Linked DNA regions of Oryza sativa Japonica Group. The main gene of each other region encodes a partner of the protein of the gene in region 7 in a complex. Links are inferred from orthologs where the notes say so. Each region holds a gene or a part of one and is shown on either strand. Other genes may lie near its edges. The genes, in order: large ribosomal subunit protein bL21c; large ribosomal subunit protein uL29c; uncharacterized protein; large ribosomal subunit protein bL28c; large ribosomal subunit protein uL4c; 50S ribosomal protein L24, chloroplastic; large ribosomal subunit protein uL15c.

Evidence for each region.
Region 1: large ribosomal subunit protein uL15c (region 7) and large ribosomal subunit protein bL21c share a complex: the UniProt entries of both Arabidopsis thaliana proteins name them as parts of the 50S ribosomal subunit. The link is inferred for Oryza sativa Japonica Group from reciprocal best matches to the Arabidopsis thaliana genes RPL15 and RPL21C.
Region 2: large ribosomal subunit protein uL15c (region 7) and large ribosomal subunit protein uL29c share a complex: the UniProt entries of both Arabidopsis thaliana proteins name them as parts of the 50S ribosomal subunit. The link is inferred for Oryza sativa Japonica Group from reciprocal best matches to the Arabidopsis thaliana genes RPL15 and AT5G65220.
Region 3: large ribosomal subunit protein uL15c (region 7) and uncharacterized protein share a complex: the UniProt entries of both Arabidopsis thaliana proteins name them as parts of the 50S ribosomal subunit. The link is inferred for Oryza sativa Japonica Group from reciprocal best matches to the Arabidopsis thaliana genes RPL15 and emb2184.
Region 4: large ribosomal subunit protein uL15c (region 7) and large ribosomal subunit protein bL28c share a complex: the UniProt entries of both Arabidopsis thaliana proteins name them as parts of the 50S ribosomal subunit. The link is inferred for Oryza sativa Japonica Group from reciprocal best matches to the Arabidopsis thaliana genes RPL15 and PRPL28.
Region 5: large ribosomal subunit protein uL15c (region 7) and large ribosomal subunit protein uL4c share a complex: the UniProt entries of both Arabidopsis thaliana proteins name them as parts of the 50S ribosomal subunit. The link is inferred for Oryza sativa Japonica Group from reciprocal best matches to the Arabidopsis thaliana genes RPL15 and RPL4.
Region 6: large ribosomal subunit protein uL15c (region 7) and 50S ribosomal protein L24, chloroplastic share a complex: the UniProt entries of both Arabidopsis thaliana proteins name them as parts of the 50S ribosomal subunit. The link is inferred for Oryza sativa Japonica Group from reciprocal best matches to the Arabidopsis thaliana genes RPL15 and RPL24.

The regions. Positions count from the first base shown.
Region 1 is NC_089036.1:9,030,788-9,035,208, forward strand, and holds large ribosomal subunit protein bL21c, read right to left. Parts: upstream 2,728-4,421; 5' UTR 2,682-2,727; coding exon 2,379-2,681; intron 1,908-2,378; coding exon 1,827-1,907; intron 1,279-1,826; coding exon 1,177-1,278; intron 1,094-1,176; coding exon 1,019-1,093; intron 900-1,018; coding exon 816-899; 3' UTR 570-815; downstream 1-569. UniProt on the Arabidopsis thaliana protein: This protein binds to 23S ribosomal RNA in the presence of protein L20.
Region 2 is NC_089036.1:32,213,440-32,217,516, forward strand, and holds large ribosomal subunit protein uL29c, read left to right. Parts: upstream 1-1,616; 5' UTR 1,617-1,647; coding exon 1,648-2,001; intron 2,002-2,942; coding exon 2,943-3,086; 3' UTR 3,087-3,362; downstream 3,363-4,077.
Region 3 is NC_089035.1:25,929,222-25,932,228, reverse strand, and holds uncharacterized protein, read left to right. Parts: upstream 1-1,372; 5' UTR 1,373-1,456; coding exon 1,457-1,546; intron 1,547-1,654; coding exon 1,655-1,972; 3' UTR 1,973-2,233; downstream 2,234-3,007. UniProt on the Arabidopsis thaliana protein: Binds the 23S rRNA.
Region 4 is NC_089039.1:104,682-108,735, forward strand, and holds large ribosomal subunit protein bL28c, read right to left. Parts: upstream 2,801-4,054; 5' UTR 2,758-2,800; coding exon 2,577-2,757; intron 962-2,576; coding exon 729-961; 3' UTR 412-728; downstream 1-411.
Region 5 is NC_089037.1:8,802,422-8,806,809, reverse strand, and holds large ribosomal subunit protein uL4c, read right to left. Parts: upstream 3,014-4,388; 5' UTR 2,946-3,013; coding exon 2,012-2,945; intron 852-2,011; coding exon 814-851; 3' UTR 597-813; downstream 1-596. Other genes in the region: peroxisomal nicotinamide adenine dinucleotide carrier, read right to left, coding at 4,016-4,218. UniProt on the Arabidopsis thaliana protein: This protein binds directly and specifically to 23S rRNA. May play a role in plastid transcriptional regulation.
Region 6 is NC_089040.1:29,338,621-29,343,045, forward strand, and holds 50S ribosomal protein L24, chloroplastic, read right to left. Parts: upstream 2,713-4,425; 5' UTR 2,633-2,712; coding exon 2,510-2,632; intron 1,401-2,509; coding exon 1,362-1,400; intron 1,287-1,361; coding exon 1,059-1,286; intron 946-1,058; coding exon 763-945; 3' UTR 541-762; downstream 1-540. UniProt on the Arabidopsis thaliana protein: One of two assembly initiator proteins, it binds directly to the 5'-end of the 23S rRNA, where it nucleates assembly of the 50S subunit. Required for optimal plastid performance in terms of photosynthesis and growth.
Region 7 is NC_089037.1:6,341,509-6,345,832, reverse strand, and holds the start of large ribosomal subunit protein uL15c, read right to left. Parts: upstream 2,868-4,324; 5' UTR 2,809-2,867; coding exon 2,391-2,808; intron 2,225-2,390; coding exon 2,073-2,224; intron 1,087-2,072; coding exon 865-1,086; 3' UTR 851-864; exon of another isoform or gene 749-850; intron 109-748; exon of another isoform or gene 1-108. Other genes in the region: uncharacterized protein, read right to left, coding at 3,400-4,133, 4,303-4,324.

The DNA.
Region 1 (4,421 bases), on a different chromosome or scaffold from region 7:
GATTATATTTAGTTTATGAACCTTTACAGTGGTCAAATTTTTACTTCAACAAGGGTTTCAATTAGGCAAAAGATGTCTGAAAACCACTATAATTCAGAACTGTAATATGCAATTAGGGGTGAAGGACTACTGAAACAGTCATAGTTTGCCAAAAGATTATACGCCTTATGCCACTGGTTATCTTTGGTAAGGATTCAAAAGGGCAAAACTTCTGCAGTTCTTCATGAACCAAGGTTCTAAAAAGTGGTAAGCAGAATCCATGCAGCCACCTGCCTTGTAGATGCTTATATGGCCTAAGTCCTAACCAGCTGCTTATGTGCCCTAAGCAGTACAAGGTTGCACACAAACACCTTATATATGGCCTTGCAGAACTTCTCTTAGAACACTCGAATAAATCATGACCAGAACTGCATTGAACATAGTACTGTAACTGATCCCAAAATATTAGGACATAGCCCGTTCAATAAACTAAGCACCATTGGTACAGATGCCAAAAACAGTGAAATTAGCATCAGTAGTCACAAAAACTGTATAAAGTTACACAAACCAAAGCTAAAACATCCGTATCGTGGTAAAATGCTCTCTCTTTTTTTAAGCACAGTGAAAATAATACAGTTGGCTAGGATACACAATATCAGAATGAACAAAACAGATGGTGGAATAAACAAAGGATGGAACAACTGGATGACTGGCAGCACTCGAACACATGAACAAAGCAAATTTTGTTCAAAAACTGTTCTTCCAGACAAGAAAAGGTAGCACTCGTATTCTAATGTACTACCAGTTGTTTGTAACTACAGAACTTACAATTGCTCTTAAGCTGGAACATACTCAAGTATCGGGTCAGCAGGGAAGTCCTCGTATCCACTTATGCCGGTAATTCTTAACCTTGTGTTTGGCTGCAAAACAACAGAGATTTTTAATCTAAAAGAACTCTAATTGCTTCGCTGTAAAAACTGAATCAGTATTTATCAATAAAATTCTACCTTTCTTGAAGAAGGTAATTGGAAAAACTTACCTGTCTGTGACCAAGTTTCCTCTGGTACTTCTTCTTCTTCTTATATTTGAAGACTATCACTTTATCATCCCGTCCCTGATATAAAAATATTGGGGAGACATCAGGGTCAAGTAATTTTGAATATCCATGATTAACCCGACAACATACAGAGGACATACCTGTTCCTCAACCACTGCATGAACAGCAGCATTGGTCACCACTGGCATGCCAATGTAAGCCTTGTCTCTAGTTGATACCAGTAATACCTTGTTTAATATTATCTGCACATCAGCATTATCCAGAAGTGAGAATTTCTGGGAAAACAATACTAAAAATGCCAGCAACATAAGCCAACGTATGGGTCCTATGGGATTGGAAGCTTTGCATCAGAGGAGTAATTTTAGTTAGAAAAGGAACGAAGCTAATATATGCAGGCTACACAAAACTTATCGAAAAGTTCTGAATAAGATATTTATGTGAAATCAGGAACTGGGATTGAAGTGTTATAATTACAGGGAAGTGACTCTTTTACTTCTAAAATGAAGTAGGTCACTACCACTTTCCATAATTTCAGAATGTACAACCTTCCTCGTTGTTTTGAAGTTTGTTATTGCATCTCATGGATGAAAAAGAATAATAACCAAATAACCAATACTATATATTTGCCTTTTCCTAATTTACAATCACCTTATCTAGAAGCCACCTCAGCATCATATACCTTTTAAATTTATGGATTAATACAAACCAACTAACTAGCAAAAATAGGCCAAATTTCTAGTTAGGGTGTAACAAGTATCCTCCTGCATCCTCTAAAGTGGAAGCACCAGACCTGATCATTGACATTGGCGCCTTTCAGCCTCTGCGTGTATATATACCTTCCAGGCATCACAATGTACTGTCTCGACCCAATCTGCGACAGAAGAAAAATAATCAAAATAGCTCCCTCGTTATTATTCACAGCGCTCATACAAAACAAAACACAGAGAAACCCTCCTCAGATGCACTCCTGCATATTTCAGAAATGCATCCGAACAATTCTCTGTAAGACTAGTATTGTATCATTCGAAAACACTGTAATTCTCTGCGCCGTTTTCTTAATGGTGTGTCCTGTACATACTAATAATCGGCGTGCGCGCATTCCTATTGGCGCGTGAATCCTAAGCTTCTTATGCAGCATAGAGTAAGCAACACAAGCCTGAAATCAAATGCTCACTTCACCGCAAGAAGCAACGCAACTAGCGCCAAATGCCTGTGTAATGATATTATTTAAAGAATTCGAGGTAATGTAGCATGAACAAATGTGATTCTTTTTTTGTTTGTTTGCAGTGAGCCGAGCAGGACTAAATCTGAAATATTGGCGGCAAGGGCAAGCTAGCCCCACCATGACAACGGCGAAGATGTCGGCGTCCTTCCCGGCGCCCGCGGCTGCGATCTGCGCCTCCACAGGCTCCGGCACCGCAGCCTCCTCTTCTTCAACCTCCTCCTCCTCTACCACCTCCGCCTCGGCCTCGGCCTCCACGGGTGCGGGCGCCGGCTCCTCGGCGGAAGCGAGGAGCCGCCAGCAGCGGCGGGGCGCGGACGCGGCGACGGGGAGGGAGCATCGCGAGGCCGGGAGGGACGGGGCGGAGGGGAAGGCTAGGGTTTTGGAGGCGAGGAGGCGGAGGGGCAGCGTCGCGGTGGCCATGGCCGGCGCGCGGGGGGGAAGAGCAGTGTGGATGAGAGTGTGGGCTATCGTATCGGAAAGAAAGAAGAGGGATAATATTGTGGATAGGGAGGTTACCCTGAGCCGTTCGATTGGAGATCAACGGCTCAGATTAGATACCCATGAAAAACATGAAACTATGCCCTACTAGTTTTTTAGCGATACTGCACGTACTCATTTTGTTTCTCCTTTCTAAAGTTTAGAATCGTTTGATTTAATCAGTTAAAGATTATAAAAGAGTTGGATCGAATGTGTTGATTAGACCATAAAGAATATGCGAATTAACACGAGTGATGAGAACTCTCGTGAACTCTCGGACGAAAGAGCCAAACTGAACTACTACGCCTCCTCGACCCCTCTTCCTCACAGGCTCGGGTGACCTTGCCGCCGGCGAGGTGAGGGAGAGAAGTCCGACAAACTCTCTCTTTGTAGGTCAATCAATTTAGTTGGGTTTTTCTTTTAGTTTGAGCGTGAAGGTCGGCGATGTTGGCCTTCTAGTCCTAGGTTTCATGGAGAAGGCAATCGAAGTTTCTTCTCTAGTGGTATCCCTCTAAAACACCGGGTAATTCTCTATCACCGTGAGTTAGGAGAAAGCTAGACCTAGTTAAGGGAAGTTAGGCAAGTTATCTTTCTTTTCTCCAGCAGGCTTTTCGCAAGGATGATAGTTTTCTTCCTCTTTATTGGTGGCAAACCTTCAAGAAGCAGTTGAGTTTTGTTTGCTATATGCTTGGATTCCTCAACCTTAGGCTATGGAGGCCCTAATAAGGTAAGCTTCTTGGTGCTTTTTTATGCAACTTGCCATGAAATCTTTGTCTCTATCACCAATATCAACGATTAGGTTGTCGACCTTGATGGTTCTGCTCCAAGAACAATCTCATTTAGCTCTGGATGTACTCATCTATGGTATTGATGAACCTTTTCATGAATTGTCATGGCCTTAACCTCTATTGTTGTGAAACCCTATTTGGGAATGCGTCAAGGCAACATCTTCTGTAGCTCGCCGTGTCCATGTAGCACCCACTGCCATCAAGTATGTCACCAGTCACCACCAATGTGGGCATAAGACAGAGGAGGACCTGATTGTTGTTTTTTTTTTCAAATCTTGTTGAGTCCTCCTTTGCTTATATTTTGACCTAGCCATCTTAAAGAGACTATCTTCCGTACTCCCAGTTCTATCAACAATGAACATTGACATGTTCAGTAGTCACATTTCTATGGCATTGCTTCGACTGTGTAGCCGTAGCCAATGCAAGGTATAGCGCACTATTGCTTGGCCTGTTGCTATATGCTGCAGCCCATGCAAGCGCATCAAAGGCTATCAAACAACATTGATAAACTGTGAGACTGTTATCTAAGTTTGTCTTTAAAAACAAGAGTACAAAGGACAACCTTTTTATTATTTGCAATGATAAGTTTTCTAAATTATTAAGAAACTGTGCAGTACGATTTCCAACATAAAAGAATATCACTTTAAAGGCCATGACAATCGATGCTGAATCGATTAAATACCATAGCTTATATAGAAGATGTTTATTATGCCATAATTTATGGCCTTTTATCATTCGCAACCATAACTTTTTCCAAATTATGCTACCAAAATAATAATAATAATAATAATAATAATAATAATAATAATAATAATAATAATAATAATAATAATAATAATAAATCAGCTATAGAAGTTAAATAGCAATCACCTTCACAACCATGATTAGCCTATAT
Region 2 (4,077 bases), on a different chromosome or scaffold from region 7:
TTTGGGAAAAAAATAAATCCGGTCCTGGTACAGAGTGCACGTCATATCGACATAGCCGTTGTATTTGTATGCACCCCTGATACGGCTCATCATGTAGATGCACAATCTTTTACGCCTTAATGCTCACAGTGAATGAACGAACTTCTCGTAGAAAACAAATTGAGTAAAGCAGTTATAACTTGATATATTGCTGTGTTCACAGAGAAAGCAACATGAAAAAAAAAGAGAGTAAAATGGTAGTAGGACTTAATATACCATTACGCATTTACGCTCACAGTGAAAGATCAAATCTCTCTCTCTCAAAAAAGGAGTGCAACAGTCAGACTTGATGCACAATCCATATGCTTCTTGATTCTGCATACCTTTCTGTCATTGTGTATTCAGCTTGTTAATTTCTGCTTTACATCGTTGAAGTGTTTCTGGTTGCTAAATAGGACAAATTTTATACTTGTAGATATACAAATACACTTAATTGAACTTGATTAACATAATTCTGTACAGAGCACAGCTTAAGCAGGCAAAGGTGAACAGAGATGTAGTTAACATGCCTTGGTGCTGATGTGTGAAGGTGTTCCAGATGCTTGGTCTTCTGCTACCCTCAGCTGCACCACCCTCGTACTGTAAGTCAAGAAAGGCCAACTCTTCAGATTTCAGACAAAGACAAAACATGTTACAATGTGACAGTTAATTTTTGGCAACTCATTCATTCCTTGGTGCCAATCTGAGCATTATTCAGTAGCATCGTGTAACACGCAAAAATCAACGAAAACAACAAAAGAAATTCCTTCTTTTTTCTTAATTACAGGTGGAATTAATCAGCTGTGGTGTGAAACTGTGAACCCGTAGGGAAGCAGGGGAGGGAGCTCCCGCTCCTGCATGACGGCATCCGGCGGCGGTAGCACGGTCCTCAGCCACGCCCTTTGTTGCACGGCCAGTGGCCTCCGTCCGAGATCCCCTTGGTGCCGCGACTTGGGGAGAGAGGCGGTCGGCGAATCAAAAGGCAGAAGCGAAGACGGACGTAGCGATGCATGTGATTTCCTCCTCCCCATCCCCAAGCACGGCAACCGAACTCATCGCCCCATCCAGCGACGAGGTGGATCTATGCCACCGCCGCCGAACTTGAGGGGAAAGACGGCACAGAACGGCGCGCTGGCGCGTGGGAGGGTCAGCCTAGGGCGTCGGAGGGGCGGAGGTGGAGCTGGAGCGCGGGGAGGAGGAAGAGGCGGCGACATCGGCGTAGGAGGACAAGTCGACCTCCGACGAATGAGGCGGAGGAAGCGGGGGCGGGGGCGCCGGCGGAGAGAAGGGCATTGCAGGTTTGGTATAACTTTTTCAAAAAGACCCCTAAAACCTCACATATTACAACGAGGTCCACCGCAGCTATTCCACACCGTTGATCTGTGATCTGACGGCTGCGAGAGGGAGACGAAAGCTGGAATCGTGCAGCGCCACGTGGAGGGGTTATTTGCACGCGAATCCGCGTAGATTTCGATATTTAGAGATGTGACATGCATATTAAGCAAGTGAAAGCCGTCCGATAATGCTTGAAGATTCGTGCCCCGAGTGGCTAATCAACATGACCAGATAAACCCCCTTATCCACGAACCCCGACCGGCAGAGAGCGCAGACGCGAGCGCAGCGCAAAAGATGGCGACGATGTCCCTCGCCGCGGCGTCCCCCCTCGCCTCGACTCCCCGTGGGCTCGCCGTCTCCACTCCCCGCACGGCCTTCCTCGGCCTCCTGACCGGAGGGGCGTCGCTGGCGCCGTTCCCGGGACTGGCGGCGGCGGCGGCGCCGCCGCGGCTGCCAGCGGGGAGGGGCGACGCGGCCGTGGCCAGGATGGCGAAGAGGGAGCAGGAGCTGGAGGAGATTCGGGCCATGCCGACGGAGAAGATCGAGGAGGAAGTGGTGGACCTGAAGGGGGAGCTCTTCATGCTCCGCCTCAAGCGCTCCGCGCGCCAGGAGTTCAAATCCAGCGAGTTCGGCCGCATGCGCAAGAGGGTATGTCTCTTACTCCATGGGGTACAGATATACCACAACTGCTAATTCCATTGCGAAAGTTTAGCATTTACTCCTGGCCAAAATGCGTTCAACCTACGAGTGGAAATTCCACCTTCTACTTCCAAATGGGTGTGGAGTGGTCGCATGTTCTGCTCAGTGTGTTCTGTTTACAAGGCCCTTTTGTTCAACCTCTAGTACTGAGTTGATTATGTTCAGATATATTGAGTTGATTTCAGGTTCAGAATAGTGGAATAACTTACCAATTTGTTGGTGGAATTTTGCCTGATTTTTATCAGTTGCATATTGGCCCATACTGAATTTACAGATGATTTGGGTTAATGCTTGGACAATTTCAGTCTCAGAAGCAATTTTTTTTTACTTAATTTGATTAGAAAGTCATGCTGACATCCATTTACGTATTCTTACATAGTATCTACTTTGGGTTTGTAGTATTGTTTATTGGATTTTAGTGCATAGAGTACTACATGAAGAATGATATTGCAATGCAATGTGTATCTGAAGAGCTTTTATACTGTTCTTGGGAAAGTAGTGTTAAATTAACCTTCAGTGGACCAAAATTTAAAATGGAACAAAACTTTGTTCTGAGGACGTCAAAATGCAGATAGTACACAAGAACTAATTCTACGGTCAGTTATGTGATACCTTGTTCTTCTTGAGGGCTTCTGATAAGTCAATTGTTATGAATTATCACTTGCTTTGGAGTTCAGGTCTCCACCTCTGCTCAGGGACAGCACAGGACAAATAGTTAGCAGCAGAGTAATGCATACTTATATCTGCCTCGATCAATGCTTCTTGCCTTTTAGGAGGAGGATATCAGATTTTTTTTTCCTGTTGTTTTTCTCACCCTGCTCATCTTGCTTCAATAGCAGCTTTCTACTATCTAAATTTAGCATTGACTTGGGTTGTCATCTTCGCATCAGATTGCTCGTATGCTGACTGTCAAAAGAGAACGGGAAATTGAACAAGGAATCAACAAGAGATTGTCTAGGAAGCTTGACAGGAAATGGAAGCAAAGCATCGTGGTTAGACCACCACCATCTCTAAGGGAGAACAAGGAGGAATAGAGAGCCACAAAAGCAGACAGTCTGTAGAAGTCATTTCATGCATGTCTTGAAGGAAGGTTTCTTTCTCCCTGTGGTTTCATTCCTTATAATGGATTGATATGTAATTCACATTAACTGATTTCCAAGTCCTTGCTGTCAAAACCAAAAGTTCTATTACCAATTCCATTTGTGTAAATTTCAGTTTATTCAAAATGTGTTGTCCATATATGCACTTATATTACTGATATATGAAACTGTGCTTAACGAGTGTATGCTATACACTTGTTGAAACTCAAACTGCCTATTCAAATTCACCTGTCACAAAGTTGTGGGTACGTACATACTATAAGAGGCAGATATGCAGAGTTCTAAAGAAGTGTCTCTGGAATACGGAGTAACAAAAACAAGAGAATTAGGCCATGTCTATAATAGTTCGCTTGGAATTTTGGTGCCCTGCTTTGCTCCAAACTCAAGTTCACTGTTTTATCAAACGTTTCAAAACTGTACAACTGTCTCCAAGCCCACGTTCTTGTGGCTTGTTGTGTCGGTCACCTAGATTTATGTTATTGTTCAACACTGATTTATGCTTAAACTAGCTCTGTTAGACTGTCCTAAAGCATGTTGGGCTTTCCCCTTCTACTCTAGCTTTAGAGTATGCTGCAGGTATCTCTGCACAGAGCTAGGGAGCCATCCTAGATCCATCATCAGTTTCATAAGCAAGCCCAGGTGGCTTGGCCCTTCAGCCAAAACTTGTTATTCTGATCTCTTCAACAGATCTTAACTTGAGATGTAGAGAGGCTTCACTCACAAGGTAATCTTTTAGTCAACTATTGTCTTCCTCTTTTTTTAGCTAATTGTTTAGTGAGCAGAGTACTGAGTTGGTGATTGTTTGAAGATAAATGCCAACAAGTGGAAATAGCATCCATGCAATTCTTTTGTTGAAAGTCTCAAGTCATCAAGGTCGAAGTGATGTTGCTGATAATTTGGTTGGGTAGATAAGAAATGAAATGAA
Region 3 (3,007 bases), on a different chromosome or scaffold from region 7:
GGGAGAAGAAGAGGTGGCGGGTCTCCATCCCAATATAACTGTAGATTCATTGGCCGCGGCACGTGGGGCTCCACCGGCAAGGAAGATGACGGTTCTAGACGCCGCTCCCCTCCAGTGCGGGGATTAGGCTTAGCGCTCCCCTCCATCTTTCACCGGCGGCGTGGGGTCTGTGACCGCCACTCCCCTCCAACGCATGGGTTGGGCTCGGCGCTTCCCTCCACCTTCCACCAGCGATGCAGGGTTCATGACCGTCACTCCCCTCCAGCTCCACCTCCCTTCATTGGGTATTAAGCTTGCAATCGTCACCGGATTGGCAACGCCCTCATCGAAGAAGCTCTCTCCGTGCAGTCGTCGACGAGCCTGAGAACCGCCAGATTTTCGCCTGAGTTGAAGAAGAAACTGATCTGCGTTGTGCGGTGTTGAGCTAACAGAGGTATTGACAGTTGTTGTAACGGAGTGGCATAGCTCAAATTTTGCAAAATTTCAGTGGCATGAACCTGATATCGTGAATAGTAATGGCAAATTGGTAAACTTGCAATAACATGATCCAATTAACCCATATCTTTGGGGAGGCTAATGCGCACGTACGTGCTAGCAATTTAGCTGGCGCCCGCGTCAGTTGGCCCCCTCCCCTGTTCCCGCGTGCTTTTCTTTCTCACTTTTTTTTTACGATTTTGGCGCCTGGATCCGGGTGCGTTTTTCTTTTTTTTCGCCATTTCTTTCTATTTTTTTAATCTTTCGCACACCCCTTTACAAATGTAGAGTTGAAAGTTTTAAATTTTGACTTCAAAGTTTTTAAATTTGACTTGAAAGTTTTCAAATCTGAGTTGAAAGTTTTAAATTTGAGTTGAATTTTTTCAATTTGAGATGAAAAGTTGAAAGTTTTCAAAATTTGACTTTAAAAAAAATTCAAATTTCGAGTTGAAAGTTTTCAAATATGGGTTGAAAGTTTTCAGAATTTGACTTGATGTATAAATTTCTTTTCAATCTGTTACTTTAAAAAATTTTCGGAAAAAACAAATCTTATCTTGATTATCTAAAACTAATGTATTTTTTTACACGCTAAAACTAATGGACTAGTTACTACATGCGCTATGGAAAGAATCTAACCGCGCCCGTGCGGTGCCGTGCATACGCGTGGGCCAGAAGTGCGCGCCCGCGGCGCGTATGCGAGAATTAGGAATTCTGCATATTTTTACCACGTAAACGAAATAATTGCATACATTTTTTTTTCTGGGCCAGTAAGTAACCAACGTGTATCAGCCCAAACCAAACAACAATTAAGAAAGCCCAGCCAAAGCGAGGCAGGCGAGCGGCCACCCGCACGGCACCAAAGCCTCAAAAATTGAGAATCATCAACGCTTGAGAGGATAACACACACCAGAAACCGATAAGGGACACGAAACAGGGGAATCCGGAGCAAAGTGCGACGCGAGCGCGCGAGGAAGCAGCAGCCATGGCGCTCTCCCTCTCCACCTCCTTCCTCCCGACCCAAGCCGCCGCGGCGGCCACGAGGACCACCCTCCGCTCCCTCGTCCCCTCCCAGGTACGATTCCTTCGATGCCCCCACAACCGCGTAGGCGTAGCGCCGCCGAATCGGAGATTCGGAGGAGGTGATTGGAACTGGGCGGTGGTGTGACGATTTGCCGTGCAGAGGATGCGGTGCTCGATGCGGAAGAAGGGGCTGCACCCGGAGATCTACGAGGACGCGAAGGTGTACTGCAACGGGGAGCTGGTGCTGGTGACGGGGGGAACCAAGCCGGAGTACACGGTGGACGTGTGGTCGGGGAACCACCCCTACTACGTCGGCGACACGTCGGCGATGGTCGTCATGGACAGCCAGATCGAGAAGTTCCGCAAGAAGTGGGGCCACATCAAGGAGTACTGGCCCGAGGACCAGTGGAGGGAGATGCACCCCGACGGCGACCCGGAGTTCGACCCGGAGGAGGAGGGATCCGCCGGCGCCAGCTGAGCCCCCGCTTCGCCTCTCGCCTCCGCCGCCGGCCTCGCCGGTGCGGTTTCTCTTGGTTGATTTTGGGAATTGCGTAAAATGGATTAGCTCCTCTTGCTTGCGCCTCTCGTTACACGTGCATTCGCATTGCTCTCTAGGTGTTCGATCGGTGTTCTCAGTGGATACGTGTGATCATATTTGTGGTATCGAACTGTTTGTTCTCTGCCTGTACTCTTTGACATCGATATAAAATGGAGATATTGCAATTTGCACACTCTGTAATTGGACATTTCCAACTCGTTGAATCGATGCATGCTAGTGTTGGTCTGGGCTCTCGAATAGAATCGTTGCATACATCAGTTTGTCCGGTCTTCAGAATAAGCAGTAAGGGGCTGTTAGTTCACGTACTAACATTGCTAAGGTTTACCATGTTTTCTCGCTAAAGTTGAGGCCATCAAAATCCAAGCCACGCTCTAGCCAATAAAGGCTATGTTTAGTTCCCAAAAACTTTTCGCAAAAACATCACATCGAATCTTTGGACACATATACGAAGCATTAAATATAGATAAAAAAAATTAATTACACAGTTTACATGTAAATCGCGAGACGAATCTTTTGAGTCTAATTAGTCTATGATTAGCCATAAGTGCTACGGTAACCCACATGTGCTAATGACGGCTTGATTAGGCTCAAAAGATTCGTCTCGTGGTTTCCAGTAACCCACATGTGCTAATGATGGCTTAATTAGGCTCAAAAGATTCGTCTCGTGGTTTCTAGGCGAGTTATGAAATTAGTTTTTTTTTATTCGTGTCCGAAAACCCCTTCTAACATCTGGTCAAACGTCCGATGTGACACCCAAAAATTTTCATTTCACCAACTAAACAGGCCCAAAATAAAAGCATGCCACACTTTTTAGAGTCACTTACATGTGAAATCTAGATTATAAAAGAGGAATCTTGCCACATTTGTGGAACCCAAATAAACACTCACCTAACATGATTAAACTTGTCTAACCTCAAGTGTGGCAACTTATGGTCATCATCCAAACAGCCCCTA
Region 4 (4,054 bases), on a different chromosome or scaffold from region 7:
CAGAGGTTGCGCGTGTGTGGAGCTGCCGGGTTGCTCCACGTCTACAACTCAACACCTTTTTCTCGTCTCTACATTTTTAGAGAGAAAAAAAACAACCTTCTAATTTTGTAGGGGTTCATTATTCATTTAGGCTCTTATTAAATATCAATAGCTAAAAAGGGGAATAAAACAATCCATCAATTTCAGCTATCTCAAACCAGACAGGCCATAGCAGTAGAACAATCAATATTGGCGTAGGAGTTCCTTTTGTACAAAACAAACAGCTTTTCAATTTTGTACAAGTTAATTCTTTCATTTAGGCTCTTATTAAATATCAATAGCCAAAAAGGAAATAAAATAATTAATCAATTTCAGCTTAGACTGGAAGACACTCTAAAGTGAAAAGCGCAAGATGCCAACTGCACGACCTGATGCTGCTCAAGTTACATCCATCCATCTTATAATTCGTAACCAACATACAGTATTAATTAGGAACTCGACCGAAATGAAACACTAGTAGCAAACAATTCGAGCCGGACTTGCAGCAGCAACACGGGATAAAAGGAAATTTAAGGAAACGAAGCCGGCCACCACCACCGATGAATGCATACTGTAGTACTCTACAATAAATTGCATCATCGAGATGAATGGATTTAATAATGGACTACATACAGCTCTGGTCTATTCAGCACAGCGGCAATTGATGAGAGAATACATGTATGTATGCATCATGATGATGATGATTTGATTTATTTCTTGTTGAGGTCGATGCCGGCCTTTTTGGCGACGGCGTCGAGGCCATGCTTCTCGATGGTCTTGAGGGCTTTGGTGGAGAGACGCAGCTTGACGAAGCGCTTGCCTTCCTCCCACCACAGCTTCTTGTACTGCAGGTTCACAAACTGCTGCTTCTTCGTCTTGTGGTTTGAGAAGGACACCTTGTTCGCCCTGTTGGTCTTCTTGTCCGTGAAGGGGCATATCCGGCCTGAGTCACCCACCCCCACATCATACAACAACATCACCATACACGCCATCTTGTTCCTACTACTACTAGTTTCTATAATTTGTGGCATCATGCAAACAAAAGATAAAGTATAATCTCACCCTTTTAAATTACTTGTCCTTAACTTTATCATAAGCCAAACATTTAATATCATAATATTTATGTGTTTATATATGCATCATGAAAAGTACCTTCATAATATATAGTACAATTAACATGTTGTTAAACTTTACAAATTTCTAGAAATTGATAAGTCACAATTATCTTTTTAAATAAGAAATTGATAGTTAAAGTTATGAATGGTTGACTTAGAATAAAACTAAAACTATAACTTGAAATGGCCAGAATAGTTATATTTTTTCTTTTCCCCCTTCTTTCTTATATACACTAGTAAGAAGAAGAAGCTCTGCTTATGTCTTAGAGAAACAAAGAGATGGTTGTCAGACATAAACAAGCAACCATTTCAAATATATTCTAAACAACCCTGTTAAATTTCACTTGGCGCAAGGATATTATTGGCCTTAAGTTAGTGGCGTGGAATCATCTCTTTCCACGCATTGCTAATATAGTGTTGTCACACGAGAAAGATGACTTTAAATTGAATCTAACACCTGATGGAAGATTCTTGGTTAAAACTCATTATCTTGCACATACAAGAGTTCCCAATTTTAACAAACATATCTAGAAGTTAAAAATCCCTCTCAAAGTGAAAATGTTTCTATCGTATTTATGTCGAGGGGTGGTGTTAACAAAAGATAACCTGGCTAAACGGAATTGAAAAGGGAATAAGACCTATTGTTTTTACCACAAGGAAGAAACGATAAAGCATTTATTTTTTGAATGTCGGCTAGCCCGATCAGTTTGGTCTTTAATCCAGATTGCATCGAACATTTCTTCACCTAGGAGTGTGTCACATATGTCTGGACAATGGAGTTTGCGACAAAACAAAGAGTCTAGGCCTCCTTTTCTACTAGGAGTTGACTTGTTGGGCTATTTGGCTATAAAGGAATGATGTGATTTTTGACAGGAAAATTGTTTCTTCTTCTTTGCAGGTTATTTTCTTGATCACACATTGGCTCCGATCATGGATTATTCTCAAGAAGCCAGATTACAGGGGTTTTGTCTGTTCGGCTTGTCTTCATTTGGAGCATGTGGTCAAGGTTTTTTTTTTTTACCCAGGCACATGAGCGGCAACCTAGTCTTCCGATATTAGGTCCTTAATCGTTGAGTTAGTTCTGTTTTTCTTGTTGTGTGGTATCTATTGGTTGTGCACTGACATGGTGCAAAGAACGACCAAATTCAATAAAGCTTCCATTCTCTTAAAAATACAAAGAAAGATCTGAGTTTATGGTAATAGATTGACAGCTAGTCTATTTTCGAGAGATTAAAGCAATCAATTACTAACAAATAGGTCATCTGGTTCTAGTAGTAGTATATATACAGTGGAGTATTGGATAGCGCAAAAAAAAAACGAAGGATAAAGTAACAACTTTAATAGTAGCAGAAATGACATTGGTGGTGTAATATAAAACTGTAATGTCAATCTGCGGGTGGATGGCTCGAAACAGAGAGAAGAAGGAGGAGGCAGATGACGTACGCGCGAGGATGGGGTGGAGCTTGGGACCGGCGGCGGAGGGCGCGGTGGTGGCTGCGGCGGAGAGGCCGAGGCTGAGGCCGGCGAGTTGCGAGGTGGCGAAGCCGAGAGAGGAAGAGGAGGAGGAAGTGCGAAGGAGCGGAGCCCTGGTGGCGGGCGTGAAGGAGCAGAGCATGGTCGCCATCGCCACTGGAGCCTGGAGGAAGAAGAAGAAGAAGAAGAGGATCAAGTCTTGTGCGGCTGCGGCGTGGCGTACAACTTGTTTCTCCTATCCTATCATAATCGTCTCTCTATGTACTGTGTGAGCAGGGGCCCATATATCGTAGTACTGTAGAAAAGGGCGGCCCAAGCCCAACTCTCATTACTACTAGTATTACTCACAGTGATAAGTCCACTTATTATCCCTTATTTTACGTCGAGTTTAATGGTATCTCTAAACCGCAATACCAGCAATCTTCACCCCCTCCCCCCCATTTTGGAAAAACCTTCCAAGTCAGTCTCATGGTATTATGGATGACTGGTTTCACTAACGTGGCATACCAATCAGAAAATTAAAATTTAAAGTGGACTTCCTCCCAACCTGTCCCCTCTCTTCCCCATCTCTCCACCTCCCCCCTCTCTTTCCCATCTCCTCCAGTGGGGAGAGGGGCGGCGGCCAGCGAGCCCATCCACGGGAGGTGGTAATGGTGGTGGGAGGTCAGTGATGAGGTGGCTCCAGTGGTCCACGACGGGGGAGAAGAGGAGGTAGGTGAGGGAGCCGGCGAGTTCGAGCTCATGAGCTATCTGCAGGAAAGCCCAGTCGTGTCAGGAGTGTGAGGAGCCGCGGGGATGGGAAGGGGGTGCTGCGGTGGTGGCGGCAAAACTTGAGCTCAAGCGGTAGTGATGAAGATGAGTACGCATGCGGAGGGTGACGTTGTTGATGGAGGTGTTGGGGAAGAAGCAAGTGAACTAGAGGGACAATGTCGTGTCGCACACCACCAACTCCCACACATTCTCGCGAGCATCCAAGATGGGGACAGTAGCAAAAGTCTGGCTCCCACTTCCAGATCCCCTTCGCATCAACCTCCATTCCAGATAGCACACTTCTACCCACTGGTCCACCTCCTCCTCTTCCTCATACTCCTCCACATCGCTCTTGGGCTCCTCCTCGTTGATGGCTTTTGAAGTGGAGACAGTGGAGCTCTCGGAGGAGACAGACCGGCATGCTCGCGACGACATCGCAACACCGGGTCGAGGTCGAGCCGGCCCCTACTTCTCTTTTCCGTCTTCAAGAACAGCCTCCTTGACTTCCGCCCACCCATCCCTCGCCGAAGGAGCTATCAAAGAGGTCACCCGAGAAGATGTGGAGTTGATTCTCTCCTCCTTGATGGCCAGGAAGACAGGAAGAGGACCCTCTCGCAGGCGGTGTGGAGGATTGTTGTCTGTCCTACCAGTGTTGGTGTGTGGTGGACCGACAAGGCTCCTCTAACTTAAGTCAAAGG
Region 5 (4,388 bases), about 2.5 Mb from region 7:
TCAGGTGATCTACAAGTAAACCTGAGCAAAATGGTCTGTTGTTTACGACTGATCTGGGCTTAGAGTTTCAAGATCAGCATCTAACCCGGGCTATGCTGCTCCAGTGCTCCATGTCCAAGTTGAGCTAGGCTACTTTCCACATTGTAAAATGCAGCAAGTCCTCTGAAAAGACTTGTTAGTTGTTACTTGTTAGAGCTCACCCAGCGAAAAAGTTAGTCATAACAAGGAACAATTCAACAATTTAAGGAGACAAGATTTTGTAATCATACCCCTACTCAAGATGTTACTCTCTCCATTTTATATTATAAGTCGTTTTGACTTTTTTCGGAGTCAAACTTCTGTACGTTTGACTAAGTATATAGAAAAAAAATGGTAACATTTATAATACCAAACTAGTTTTATTAAATGTAACTTTGAATATATTTTTGATAACATGTTTGTTTTGTGTTAAAAATGTTATTATTTTTTCTATCATTTTGGTCAAAATTAAATAAGTTTGACTAGGAAAAAAAAGTCAAAATGATTTATAATATGAAACGGAGGGAGTAGAAAATTAGTGGTAACCAGCAGGTCAACACTGGTTTTTTGAAGCAAGATTGGGAAGCACTTTCTGTATAAAATTGGAAGAAAAATATGCAGTGGTTGACACGACATTGTATTTGAAAATATATGTGCAGTTTGAAGATCTAATATACTGCATCAGTGAAAAAAAAACATTATAAACTTACAACAAAAGTAAGCCAAAAAGCTTCTGCATCAGGGAAGCAATTACCAGACCAACAAACGAAAAACACGCGATCTACACCTCCTTCCCTAGGAATTGCTATCAGCCTCAGTCTCTGCAGCCTCATCTGAAAGTCATACAAAAAGAAGTTCCTGAGAAATGCTCAAAATAAGAGAAAGTTATAATATGCAGCACCAAAATGTAACAGAGAACTGAATGTCAATTAATAATAACTTAGTCCTGTAGCTATGCATAGTATTTACGAAAAGGAAGTGCTTGAGTGATGGAGAAAACATGTGTTTAACTAGGTTTTACCTCTAAAGCAACTTAAACCAGCATATTCACAGCTAACTACTTTATTAAGATGGTTCTAAGGTCTAACAGAACATCTTTGAAGTGAATGATGACAGTGCCAATGGCTGACAATGTTTCAAGTGATAGGTGATAGGGGTAGCTGTGTGGCACAGCAGATTGTGACACTATTATAAGGAGTGTACCAGTATCCCCAGAGTTCTGGTTCAGTGGTGTTCATGGATTCCATGCAGTCTCATTTCTTCTTATTTTTTAGTTTAGTGCTTAGGACTTAATCCACCTTCAGCCGAAAATTTAACCACCATTAGGTGAAGTCATTTTCTATTCGCAAATTGTTGAGTTGCTCATGAGCTCTGAATAAAAACCCTAAGGAGGTGCAAAATAACGAGTAAAATACAGACTCAGTGGGTCTACTGAGAGCTAGCATAGGGGTAGGTGGATCTCTAAGCATGCTTCTAAAATAGACCATTGAATTATGTCATGGACTTATTGGATCTTTCAGGAGGAAAAAAAACCATACGATGTACATTAGCATGGTAAGCATTTTTCCTTTTGCATGCTGGTAAGGATAAGAGAACTATTTCGAAAAAAAAATTAGCTCCATAAGTCTACAAGGCCACAAAGAATTTCTCCATAATAATTAAGATGGTATTCATAAGACAAAACTGGCTACATTTTCTGTTTCTTTGCCACGTTATCTTGTTTTTACCCTTAAAACGCATGTCAGGATCTTTATCAGCATACGTATAGCATCGATCATGATATTTACAACAGAGCATAGCTAAGAGTTAAAAGATAAAAAAAAAAACTACTGTACATGCCATTAAAGCAGAGCATTTTCTCTCCTAACTATCAACTAAAACATGTAAAATAAAGGATCACTGGATAGCATTAGTTACTCAAAGTCATTTCGCACATGCCCACCATAGAAACAATAAAAAGACACCTGGAAATTGTTCATGCATAGCTATGTACCTTGAGCAGCCTCCTCTGCGCTCCCTTCTCCTTCTTGCAACTCCTCTGCTTCCTCCTCACCATCATCCTCGCCATTGGTATCATCCTCATATTCATCAAAAACGGTGGCACCATACCTGGAGTTGAGATAGTTAATGGCGGCCGGGGTGAAGAAGAGCTTGCGGGCATCGAGGATGTCGTATAGGTTGAGAGTCCTGGGGGTTAGCATCTTGAGGGAGCCAATGTTCCTTCCGCTGAGCCGCACATTGTCTGCAAAATCCGTGGCGAAGAACATGGCCTTCTCCTTGGGGTCGAGCCCCCACCGCTGAAGCGCGGCCACGAAGTCCCTGGTCTTGGGACCCGCGGCGAACTCCTCGTCGAACTCCTCCACGACGAATGCATCGTCGGCCACGGCGGCACTGGCGAGCGCGGTGGAGATGGCGAGGCGCTTCTCCTTGCGGTTGATCTTGATGGACCAGTCGCGGGGCTTGGGCCCGAATATGACGCCGCCGCCGGGGCGGAGCGGCGTGCGCATCGACCCGCGCCGCGCCTTCCCCGTCTTCTTCTGCTGGTAGGGCTTCCTGCCGCCTCCCCTGACCTCGCCGCGGGTGAGCGTGGAGGCCGTGCCGCGGCGCTTGTTCTGGCGGTCGGTGATGATGGCGCGGTGCACGACGGCGCGCGCGGTGGAGGGCGGCGCCGACTTGAGGTCGAGGGCGACCTCCCCGACCTTCTCCCCGGTGAAGGAGAGAACCGGGAGGGTGGCCGCCTCGGCGCGAAGGGCGCGGAGGACGGAGATAGCCGCCTTCTGCTTGCCGGCGGCGACGGCGACGCGCGGGGAGGAGGAGGCGGCGGCGGCGGCGGATGGGAGGAAGGAGACCGAGGTGGGGGAGAGGAAGGGCGAGGAGGAAGAGGAGAGCGAGAGGAGGAGAGTCGAGGCCACGGAGGAGGCGGCCATTGCGGCGGCTTCGCTCGCTGCGGTGCGCTGCGTGGGCTGGACGACGGGGAGGCTTTGCCGCTGCAGCTGCGGAGCGGCCGCTTCTCTATCTCCTTATCCACCCCCACCCGACCGGACCGGCCACACTCTCGCGAGTGTCAGCTTAGTCGGTCGCGCCAGACCAGTAAGATACACACACTACTATGTGTTTGGATTTTAGAAGAAGCATCTCTTCATTAAAAAAACTTAGATATTGTTAAAGAAAAACCCTCGAGGCAGTATTAGTCTATTAGATGGTGTTTTTTTTCTAATAAAGATGAAATAAAATAGGAAAGCAAAATGAAAACGGCCCATTAGCTTATGTTTAATTAAGTTTTGATTATTTTAAACTTGAAATTGATTTATTTGATATTTTAAAATATTTTTATGTAAAAAATTCATATGAAACATACCATTTAGCAGTTTAAAAAATGTGTTAGGAAGAATTTGCATCTTAGTAAAGAAGGAGGCTTAGTTTCACCAAAATGAGTTTGAAATAATCAAATTAAATTTCATTTCCTTTTTGTCGGGTCAGATTGCTCATTAGCACTTGTGTATCAGAACAGTTGCCTGAGAACCACATTGACAGATGGGGCGCACCATAGACACAGTTATGCTAAAAATGGACAGGAACTCCAAATTTTCTACTTCTACTTTTGTTCTGAACACTTGCGAAGTTTTCACGATTGCGATCCTCTTCTCGGTTAGCTCTAACAAACAAGCTAAAGAAACTCAAGTAATCTGAACAGATGACTAGCGCTTGCGATTCTCATTGCCAACTTATTTTCTAGTGTTTCAATCTTCCATAACAGTATACTTTACACGAGCAACAGAGATAGCCTACCCAATATATACCATCATTATTGGTTCCTACAAGAATCACAGTGGTAATTGTACTACATCTTTAATCTCCTTTTTTTGGAGAGCCTACAGTCGATCAGAGTCTCACAGATAACTTGATATCTCCTAACAGGGGCGCTTGGCAACTCTGTCCATCGCTTTATGGAAACAATTGTGGTATAAGTAGGGAACTAACTCTTGTACAACCTAGATCATCTTAATGGCTTCGATGGTAACTTCTTAACAAGGCTGGTGTTGCCGGTTACCAATAATCGAGCGCCCTTCACCAGTTCCTCCTTAATCATAAAAAGGAGAGCAGAAGCAAAAACACTTTGTACGATTTTTGTGCTCATTCCTTTATAAAGCCCTGACAAACCTTCATAACGTATCATCTTTGTGATCGCATCAAATGTGCCTGCAAGCAATAAAATTTGCATAGCGTATTTGGTAACAAAGTCAGAGAACAGCAAATATTATTACCAGAAGAGAAGTAAAGACTATCAGAAACAGGATATGGAGCAACATCACTCATTAAATAATAATTCACTCTAAATAATAAAATGAAGTTTAAAGAATAAAGGCCAG
Region 6 (4,425 bases), on a different chromosome or scaffold from region 7:
GTTGCCGACTTCCCGTTGTTTTCGTGACCTTGATGGGTTGCATCTTCGTCTCATGGGATCTGGACAGGTGTCAGGTTTCCCTCGCGGAGCAAAACGCAAGCAGAAAACTGTGGTTTGCTTACGATCACCTGGATTTGATATTTGCGTGCCATATCTGCTATGTTGATTCTCAGCCGTCAGCACGAGCTCTTGAGCTTTCATGTTATCAATGGCAAATCAGATTTGTTTTTTCCTTTTTCTGACTATAATCTTTTAGCACTATATATTTGTATTTTTTTTCCTACTATATCAATAGAAACATCGCTATCTTTTAGCACTATATATTTGTATTTTTTTCCTACTATATCAATAGAAACATCGCTGCGGGTTGTTTCAAAAAAAAAATTGCTAAGCTTGTTTCTTTTATGATACTCCTATCTTACTACTCCTTAAAAAAAAGAACTTATCAATCATTCATGGGTTTTATATGTACATCTCATCTATATTTCTATATGGAAATGGACCAAATTAGTCAATGGTTGCGAATAATAGCTCAGGACAGGGGACAGCAACAACATTACAAAATCATTTGTATGAGCGAATGTAGCTGAACCATTCTAGTAGCTGGTTAACAAGCCAAGCATGTCATTGGATACAAAAAAATGTTGGCAACTGTATAGAAATTTACAAGACTCTGAAATCTGAATCTAGAAAAGCATCAACTCATTTGGGCATACAAAAAGTGCAGTTCAGAAAATGTGCAGGACTCCCATGCTACCATGATCACTCCGAACTTCCTTCCTTGAACACCTTGACCCAATTCTCAGCACTGTCAATTATTTCACCAGTCTTGACCAGGTACCGAACCTTCGTTCCATCCTCAAGGAATTTGTGTCCAACCCTACTCGCCACATTCTTTTCCTTTGAGTAGAGCATCACATTTGAGCTGTGAATGGGGCCTTCAATCTGATCAAAGAAAACACCAACAACCATAGGTTAACGATCAGGCATCTGAAACTATATATACGACACTAGCTAGAAGCAGCACAGAAAGAAGTTTCAAGAGAAACAATGCTGACCATGACGATTTCACCCGGTTCATCTTCTGTTCCTTTCTTGTGCTTGGACTTCAAGTTCAAGTCCTTCACTATTACAGTGCTGTTGTGCTTAAAAAGCCGCGTAACTTCTCCAACTTTACCTTTCTCACGGCCTGCAATGACTTGTACTGTATCGCCAATCCTAACATGCATCTTGTGCAGGACAGGAAGACTGTTTGGTTTACACTTCTTCCTCTCCCATCGCTTAAGCTGCATTGGAAAAAGGGAAATTTCAGACATTTGAGTAAATAGCAAGCTGCAGACCAAAAAAGAATTGAAACTTACCCTCATTTGAATTGGGCATGTCTTGATCATAAATTTAACCTGCATATAAAAATTTATGCATATCTTGTCAGAGTTTCTTATGAAAATGACATAAAATGTAATAATCAGCTGCTTTTGAGATATGACATGAATCATGCTCACGATGTTTCTTAGGCAAGAATATCTAGGATAATCATATGATCTTTTAGTACGAGTTTCTTCATATAAGTGCAGATTTTAGTACAGTTCATCATATAAGTGCCATATATAGCTCAGTCACTCCATTCAAGAGCAATTATTCGGCCTTATTTTCTCTCATCACCACTTTCCAGGTAAGTAATTAGTCGTGAGTGAGTCTCATTCTGAGGACGAAGTGCAGTAGACTATCTAGAAGAGCTAAGGAACGCCAAAAAGAATATACAAAAGATAGAACAAGTTCAGTCTGATAAGTATACCGAGTGTGCCAATCATTTGCTACAGGCTATCCCCGAGTGAAATGAGTTTCCATCATTTTCCCATGGAAGTCTTCTGTGAAATTTCTACTGTTGAGTAATTTAAAGTTCAAAGGCAAAATTGTTTCTAGCCAGCGAAATGTGATCTATACAGCAGGTTAGAACAAGAAATGGTCTGTCTCACTAGAGGGCACATCTTTCAGAAAAATAATCCTCTGCTTGAAAGGCTGAATATTGGGTATCCATCGCTTATACCACCATAGGAAAAAAATAATATTCAAGTTTAAACTGAAACATAACAGGCCACATCCCATGGTAGACAACACAATTTCTAACTTCTGAATTCACTCAGTTGATATACTCAAACTTGAGATTTCAAGCATTCATTAATTCATATAAACCCTCCTTATACTAGCCAACTAGGTTCAACTATACCACAAAATCCTTGAGACCTTTTCTCTAAAAAAAATATACCACAAAATTTTGACACAACGTTGGTTGTTGGCTAGTTGAGGTCCTGAGCCTGAACTCCTGAAGGCAACAACAGTACAGTGAGGCGATGTAGACATCACCATTGCAATGCCACGCTGTTGGTGAGCTCTAAAATCCTAAATCTCAGTGCAAGCTGGCATTTCTACTTTTCCAGCGAATCATAAGAGCAGAGCAAACATAAAGGAATGCGAAAAATGAGAATCAGGGTTGGGAGTCGGCACAAACCCCAGCCGGCGCGGCGGCGAAGGTGGAGAGCGGGTGGCCCCAGAAGCTGCTGGTGCTCGCCGCCCCCGGCGCAGAGATGGAGAGGGACGCCATCGCGCCCTGCAACGCCGCCACCCCGGCCATCTTCGTCTCCTCCCCTCCTCTTCCTCCCTCGCTCGCTCAAACCGCAGAGAAGCAGCAGAGGATAACGAACGCCTTCGTGTGCTCGCGGACAGGATAATGGCGAGCGCTTTTCTACATGACAAATGGGCCTCTAGGCCGAATGGATTGGCCCACTTGTAAGACTCATAAAGGCCTAATGAAAGGCCTATCGTAATCCAGCCCAACTACAACGGACCTTACGGCCCAAGTCAGCCGCGATCCCGTTCAGGCTCAAATATAGCGGGCCTCACGTAAGCCGCAATCCCGTCTCGACCCAACAAGAACAGGTCGCACCTACACAGATAAAATCTATTGTACATTTCTCATCTCTGCTCCTGATTGAATTACCTCCCTCAACCGCAAAATGGAGGAAAATCGGTCTTATTGTTTGGTTATGCTTATATTTATGAGCCAAAATTTGAATTTGAGAACTTAGTTTTGAATTTGCTTTTTTGTTTTTTTAAAATGCTTATATTTTACAACATTTGCTTTAAGTTATTATGGACATATATAAACATTTTACTCATAAATAAATTTTTATTTGCTAATAAACGATTCGAATAAGCGAAAACCGTAGCAGATCAACCCTTAGATGGTTTGTAGGGTGGTTCCTGTTGACGTGGCAGGCTGACTCGCAGAGAACATGAGGGAGGCAAAATAGACTTACTATCACGCACGTCAGCAATCCGGTTAAGGCCCAAATGTCGTGGGCCGCTCGTCGTCCGCAATCCCGTTTGTGGTCAAGTAACGTGGGCCGAACGTCCTGGGTTGATATGGGCCGACACCCGTTTTCGGATAAGGCCCAGCCCAGCATACGCTCGTCGTCTTCCTCGTTGCGTTGCGTGGCTTCGTCTCCACACGCATCATCACCACGCCACGCGCCGCGAGATGCTGCTTCGGCGGGGGCGCCCAGGCGTGGCGCCTCCCGGATTCCGGCGGCTTCGACGTCGCCGGCGACGCGCGCAAGCCAAGCGACAGTTGCGGAGGCAAGCAACCCCCCAAGTTCCGTCCCTTTTGCGCTTTTCTGGGACCCATTTCCTCTCTCTTTTGGGGGGCGCTTTCGCGGTGACGACGCTGCCGATGCGCGTACGCCTGAGGAGTTCTTCCCCATCACGCCGCGTGGGGGATCGGGACGTCGCCATTTCCGCTGCCGTTTTCTTCTCTTTGGGGGGTTGCAATCTCGCGTTTCATTTGATAGGGTTGGGCGTGGGCGGTGGGGAATGGGGATGGGTAGGTAGATGGCACCGATGTGAATCGGACGACTTCGAATCGAAGCCTTCCGATCCATGTGAGGAGGTTGAGGAACCAACCTAATTTCGAATCGAAGAACTCTTGGTTTCTCTACCTAAAACCAAATAGCATAGTGACAGTGGTCGTTATACTATGAATTCCAAGCTTTTTGACCGAAGATTTCGAATCATCGAGCATCTTTGGCCAAGCTATTCTAACACGGTTGACTCAGAAGTCTACGTTTCTATGCATTGTGTATTTGAGTGTTAGTTACTATATTTCGTGATAAACAAAACTGTTGACTCAAAAGTCTACGTTTATATGCATTGTGTATTTGTGTGTTACTGTATTTAGTGATAAACCTTAGGTGTACATGTGAGGGATTTCATGGATAACACGTGCACTACATTCTTGCCTGTTCCACTGGTCACCATCAGCAAATCGCTCCTGTCCCTTTCGTGTGGCTATCACTGGAGCTATTCAATTCTTGAAAGGCTCTGCCGTGCAAGCAAACCGTTTTCTTTCCAATGGGATAAGTGTGTGAC
Region 7 (4,324 bases):
GAAAATTCCTTCCATACCCCTGAAATTTTAGCCGATCCCTTCTATGCCCATGAATTTCCTTCACTCCCTTGTATACCTCTGAATTTTGATTTGGATCTCTTCCATACCCTTGCCGTTAATTGACCGTTTAATAGGTATATAAAAGTCAGTTTTACCCTTCAATATGTGAGGAATATGTAGAAATTTGTAAACTATATTGTTGGAAGTATAAAATTTGTTGTGTGATTATCATATTCATAAGTTTTATGTACATAAAAAATTTAATATATATTTAAAAAGTACATGTAGCATTTTTTTAAATGATAAACATAGTTTTGGAAAGCATTCCTATATAATATATACAACAGGAGAAAATATGTTGAACTACCATAAACAAATGCTACATATACTCTTTTAGTAGGTAAATAAATATTAGTTTTTATGTCATTAGGTAAAAATAAACTTTGCCATGAATAATACCTTGTACAATAAAGTCATGAATATGATAGTCTTATATAACAAAATTATACACTTCCAACAATATAGCTAGTCTACAATTTTTAGATTTCCTTCATGTCTAAGGGCAAAAAGGTCCTTTTCATTAGAATTAAACATTCAACTAACGGTATGGGTATGAAAGGGATCAAAACCAAAATTCAGGGGCATACAAAGGAGTGGACAAAACTCGGAGGCGTAGAAGGGATTGGCTAAACTTTCAGGGGTATAGAAGGAATTTTCTCCATTTAAACAGGAAACACACAAAAAAAAATGCTTGCATATCGCACGGATTCAAAATTCGTTGAACGTGGAACTTTTGGAACAAGGTAAGAGAAATAAGTATATGTTAAAGAAAAGGGTAAAGGAGAAGTACAGTGTATATGAATTCTATGCAGATGCTTCATCAGATTCACCAGCACCACCATTTTTCTTGCTAAAGTATTCTTCTGCACGAGCTTGGTTCTTCAGATAAGATTGTGGTAGCCATTTCTTCCGCTTTGGTACCAGACTTAAAGTACAACCAGCTGCCTCGAGCTTCTCCTTGGCTGAAGCAGAGAATGCCCCAGCCTTGATATTCAACTTGACTGATACATCACCATCTCCTAAAATCTACAGATAGGTTTTCAAAAGTTAGCATACTAATACTACCCGCATGATAAAAGATACAATAACAACAGCAACATTGCAGTATCATTGTACTCAAACAAAGATGAAAGGAACGCCATCTGCTGAACATCAGAATCAGATGTCAAGAAGGAAAAAGCCTATCATAAGGATAAAGTTGATAGCTCCCCACATTATGACTTAGGTCTTGATACCTGTTTTAGCCCTGTGGGTTTTACCTTATATGTACCACATAGCTAGGAGCCTAGAGTATAGAAAAAATCAATCAAATGAAATAGGACCAGAAAGAACAATAAAAGTTGAACAATTATGCTATTCAAGGTGCATTAAGTTCCACCCTTGGAGAAGTCTTTGTCACATCAGTGATCAAGCGCCACACCACTACCCACTATAAGGGGCAACCCAGTAGCACACTAATGCATCTACTCCAGCAATCCGCCAACTAAGAGTGGAGACAAACAGTAAATATTTTGGGTATGTTGGGAGTGATGCAGACATGCAGTGGTACATGTAAGAGCACATGGTTTTGTTGGGATCTTGATACCACTTCATGTTTATGCCTGACAGATATGCTCATATGCAGGCCTACACCATGTGTGGGTTCATCATAACTCATACGTTCTAGATCCTTGAGTAGCCAATAGAAACACTCGTCAAATCATACCGTGTTTGTCCAACACGAGCTAAGAAAATTGATCCCGACACACAACTTTGAGACTTCGAATACTCAACTTGGTAATTGCTGCTAAGGACAGACCAACACAGCAACATTTGAGAACTACAAGAAAAAAAAAGGCCAGCCATTCAATCCACAACATCAACAACTAAAGGATTACCCAAGACTGCTGGTGAACTTGATGAATTCACTGGCAAAGATCAAATGCAAGGCATTCATATTTCAGTTTTCAGTAAAACATGGTCATCTACAGAACCGACTTAAAAAAAAGAAGGATAATCGTCGTATAGTGTACCTTCAGAGGAAGCTTTCTCTCCCTGCCAGACGGATTAATCAAACCCCTCGATTTCAAGGATTCCAATGATATCTCGTCACCATCCTTGAACCCGCCACGCGCCAAGTCTCTCAAATTGAACGGCACATACTTCGGCAAGCCAATATGCATTCCTGCAATCGCAAGGTAGAACTTGCAACGGGTCACTTCTCAATCCCAGCATTTCTGCATTCCAAATGGAAGGTGCTAGCGTGTTCCCACTCAATTTCCAGTGCATTTGAATGTGTGAGGCTTCGATTGAGGGCGAGGAGGGGAAGCGGGAAGCTCGAAGAGACTCACCTCCAGCAATGCCGCGCAGCTTGGGGATGCGGCGGTAGAGCGGCATCTGCCCTCCCTCGAACCCGCGCCGGACGCCTGGCCCCGAGCGCGACTTCTGTCCACGCATGCCGAACCCGCAGCTCGCGCCCTGCCCCGCCGCGATACCGCGCCCCTTCCGCTTCGGCCGCCGCCGCGACCCCTTCTGCGGGCCCAGGTTGTCGAGCCGGAACTTCTCCGCGGGCTCCGCCTCCGCGGCCTCGGCCGCCGCGGCGCTGCACACGACCGTGACGCAGCGGCGCGGGCGGGCGCGGAGGACGACGGACCGGCGGCCGGAGATGGGGCCTGGAGCGGCGACGAAGGAGGTGGAGAGCGAAGTGGAGGCCGGGAGGTGGAGCAATGTGGCCGCGGGAGCGAGGGAGAGGAGGGTGATGGACGCCATGGCGGTGGAGCGGAGAGCGCGCCTGAGCGGCTTGCTGGTGTGGGTGGATAGAAGGGGATAATTGGGGAAGGACACGAGGGAGATAAGACGGTTGGATAAATGGGCCATGAATCCAATTAACCCTTGGGAATTTGGGCCTCTTTTCCCTCTATTTTGTGAATGGTTTCGTATTACTCACTTTGCTTCTTGTTTATTAAAGGATTTTAGAAGGTTTACAAAAGTTTATGAATAGAATAGAACTGAATTTATCTTCTTAAGAAATGAACATATTTGGATTGATCTTCCACACACAATCAACCAAAGAGAAAACCTGATCTTTGCTGTTCTTCAAGAGACTAGTACGGAGAGAAACTGATGGGTCACACAACCTGACAGAGTTAAGTATACTGAACTGATCTATGCTAAGAAAAGAAAAGGTGAAATGAGAAAGGAAGAAACGAAGACATGTACAAGACACATGCTTCACAGGATCGTCCCGTTGCATGTCTAGCAGTAGACAGGTGCAAGGAATTAAAAGTAAGTGTTACAACTGTAGTCTGGATAATTGTACGTCCAGGCCTCAGCTGAAAGAAACTAATGGAACTCTGGCCATCAACCATCTGAAATGTCAACAACGATACCTCTAGTTGGTGAGTTCAATGGTGACGATGCAGCTTGGCCAGCTTGATCCTCTGCTGCTACATGACTACTTACAGGATGATCTGGCAATGAACTTACATCAACTCGATTAGCTTGCACATTTTCAGATTTGTCATTGTCCCCCTGGCTTAGGGGGTAAGAGCCAGCACTGCTAGAATTTCTGCCATTTTCTACAAAAGATGTAGAACTAGCACCTTCACTGCCACTATTGGATTCCCTAGCAAGAACAAGTTTCAGTAACTTCTGCCGCTTTCTTCTTTCGGTTCTTTTATTTATCAAAGGCACCTCATCTTCATCTGACTCATCCACAGAATAGTAATTCAACCATTCAATGATTACAGAGTAGGAACCATCCCACTTGCTTATTTTTCTTTTCTTCTGTCTGCTGCACTCTTGATTCTTCTTTAGTGAGGTTGTTCTTGGACGCTTCGGTGCTTCCTGAACAGTTGTGGCGGTTAGACGGTCCAAACCAATATCCTTTGACAATTTGATTTTCTTATTAGCTGTGTCTCTTGAAGAGGACTCCATTCCAGAAATACCAATAGAGTCATCAGGAGGAAACCCAGCAGAGGTTTCTTCCAGTTCATGCTTATTGCCTTTTCCACCCTTAATTGATGCATGCGCATTGTGCCAACTTCCAGGGGCTGATTCTTCAACTTTGCAATCAGGTGCTTCTACAGATAAAGCTACCAACAAAAATTAGCAGTATCATCAATTTGTATGAGTAGGCATACTAAGAGTTTAAAATGTATATCTGCAGTAAAGAGTCATCTCAAGGCATTTCAACAAAATAGACTGTTTTATGGTCTTAAAATGTTATCATAACTGGAACCTCCTTTTTAAGCCAAATGTTACCTTTTGAACCCTCTACACAACC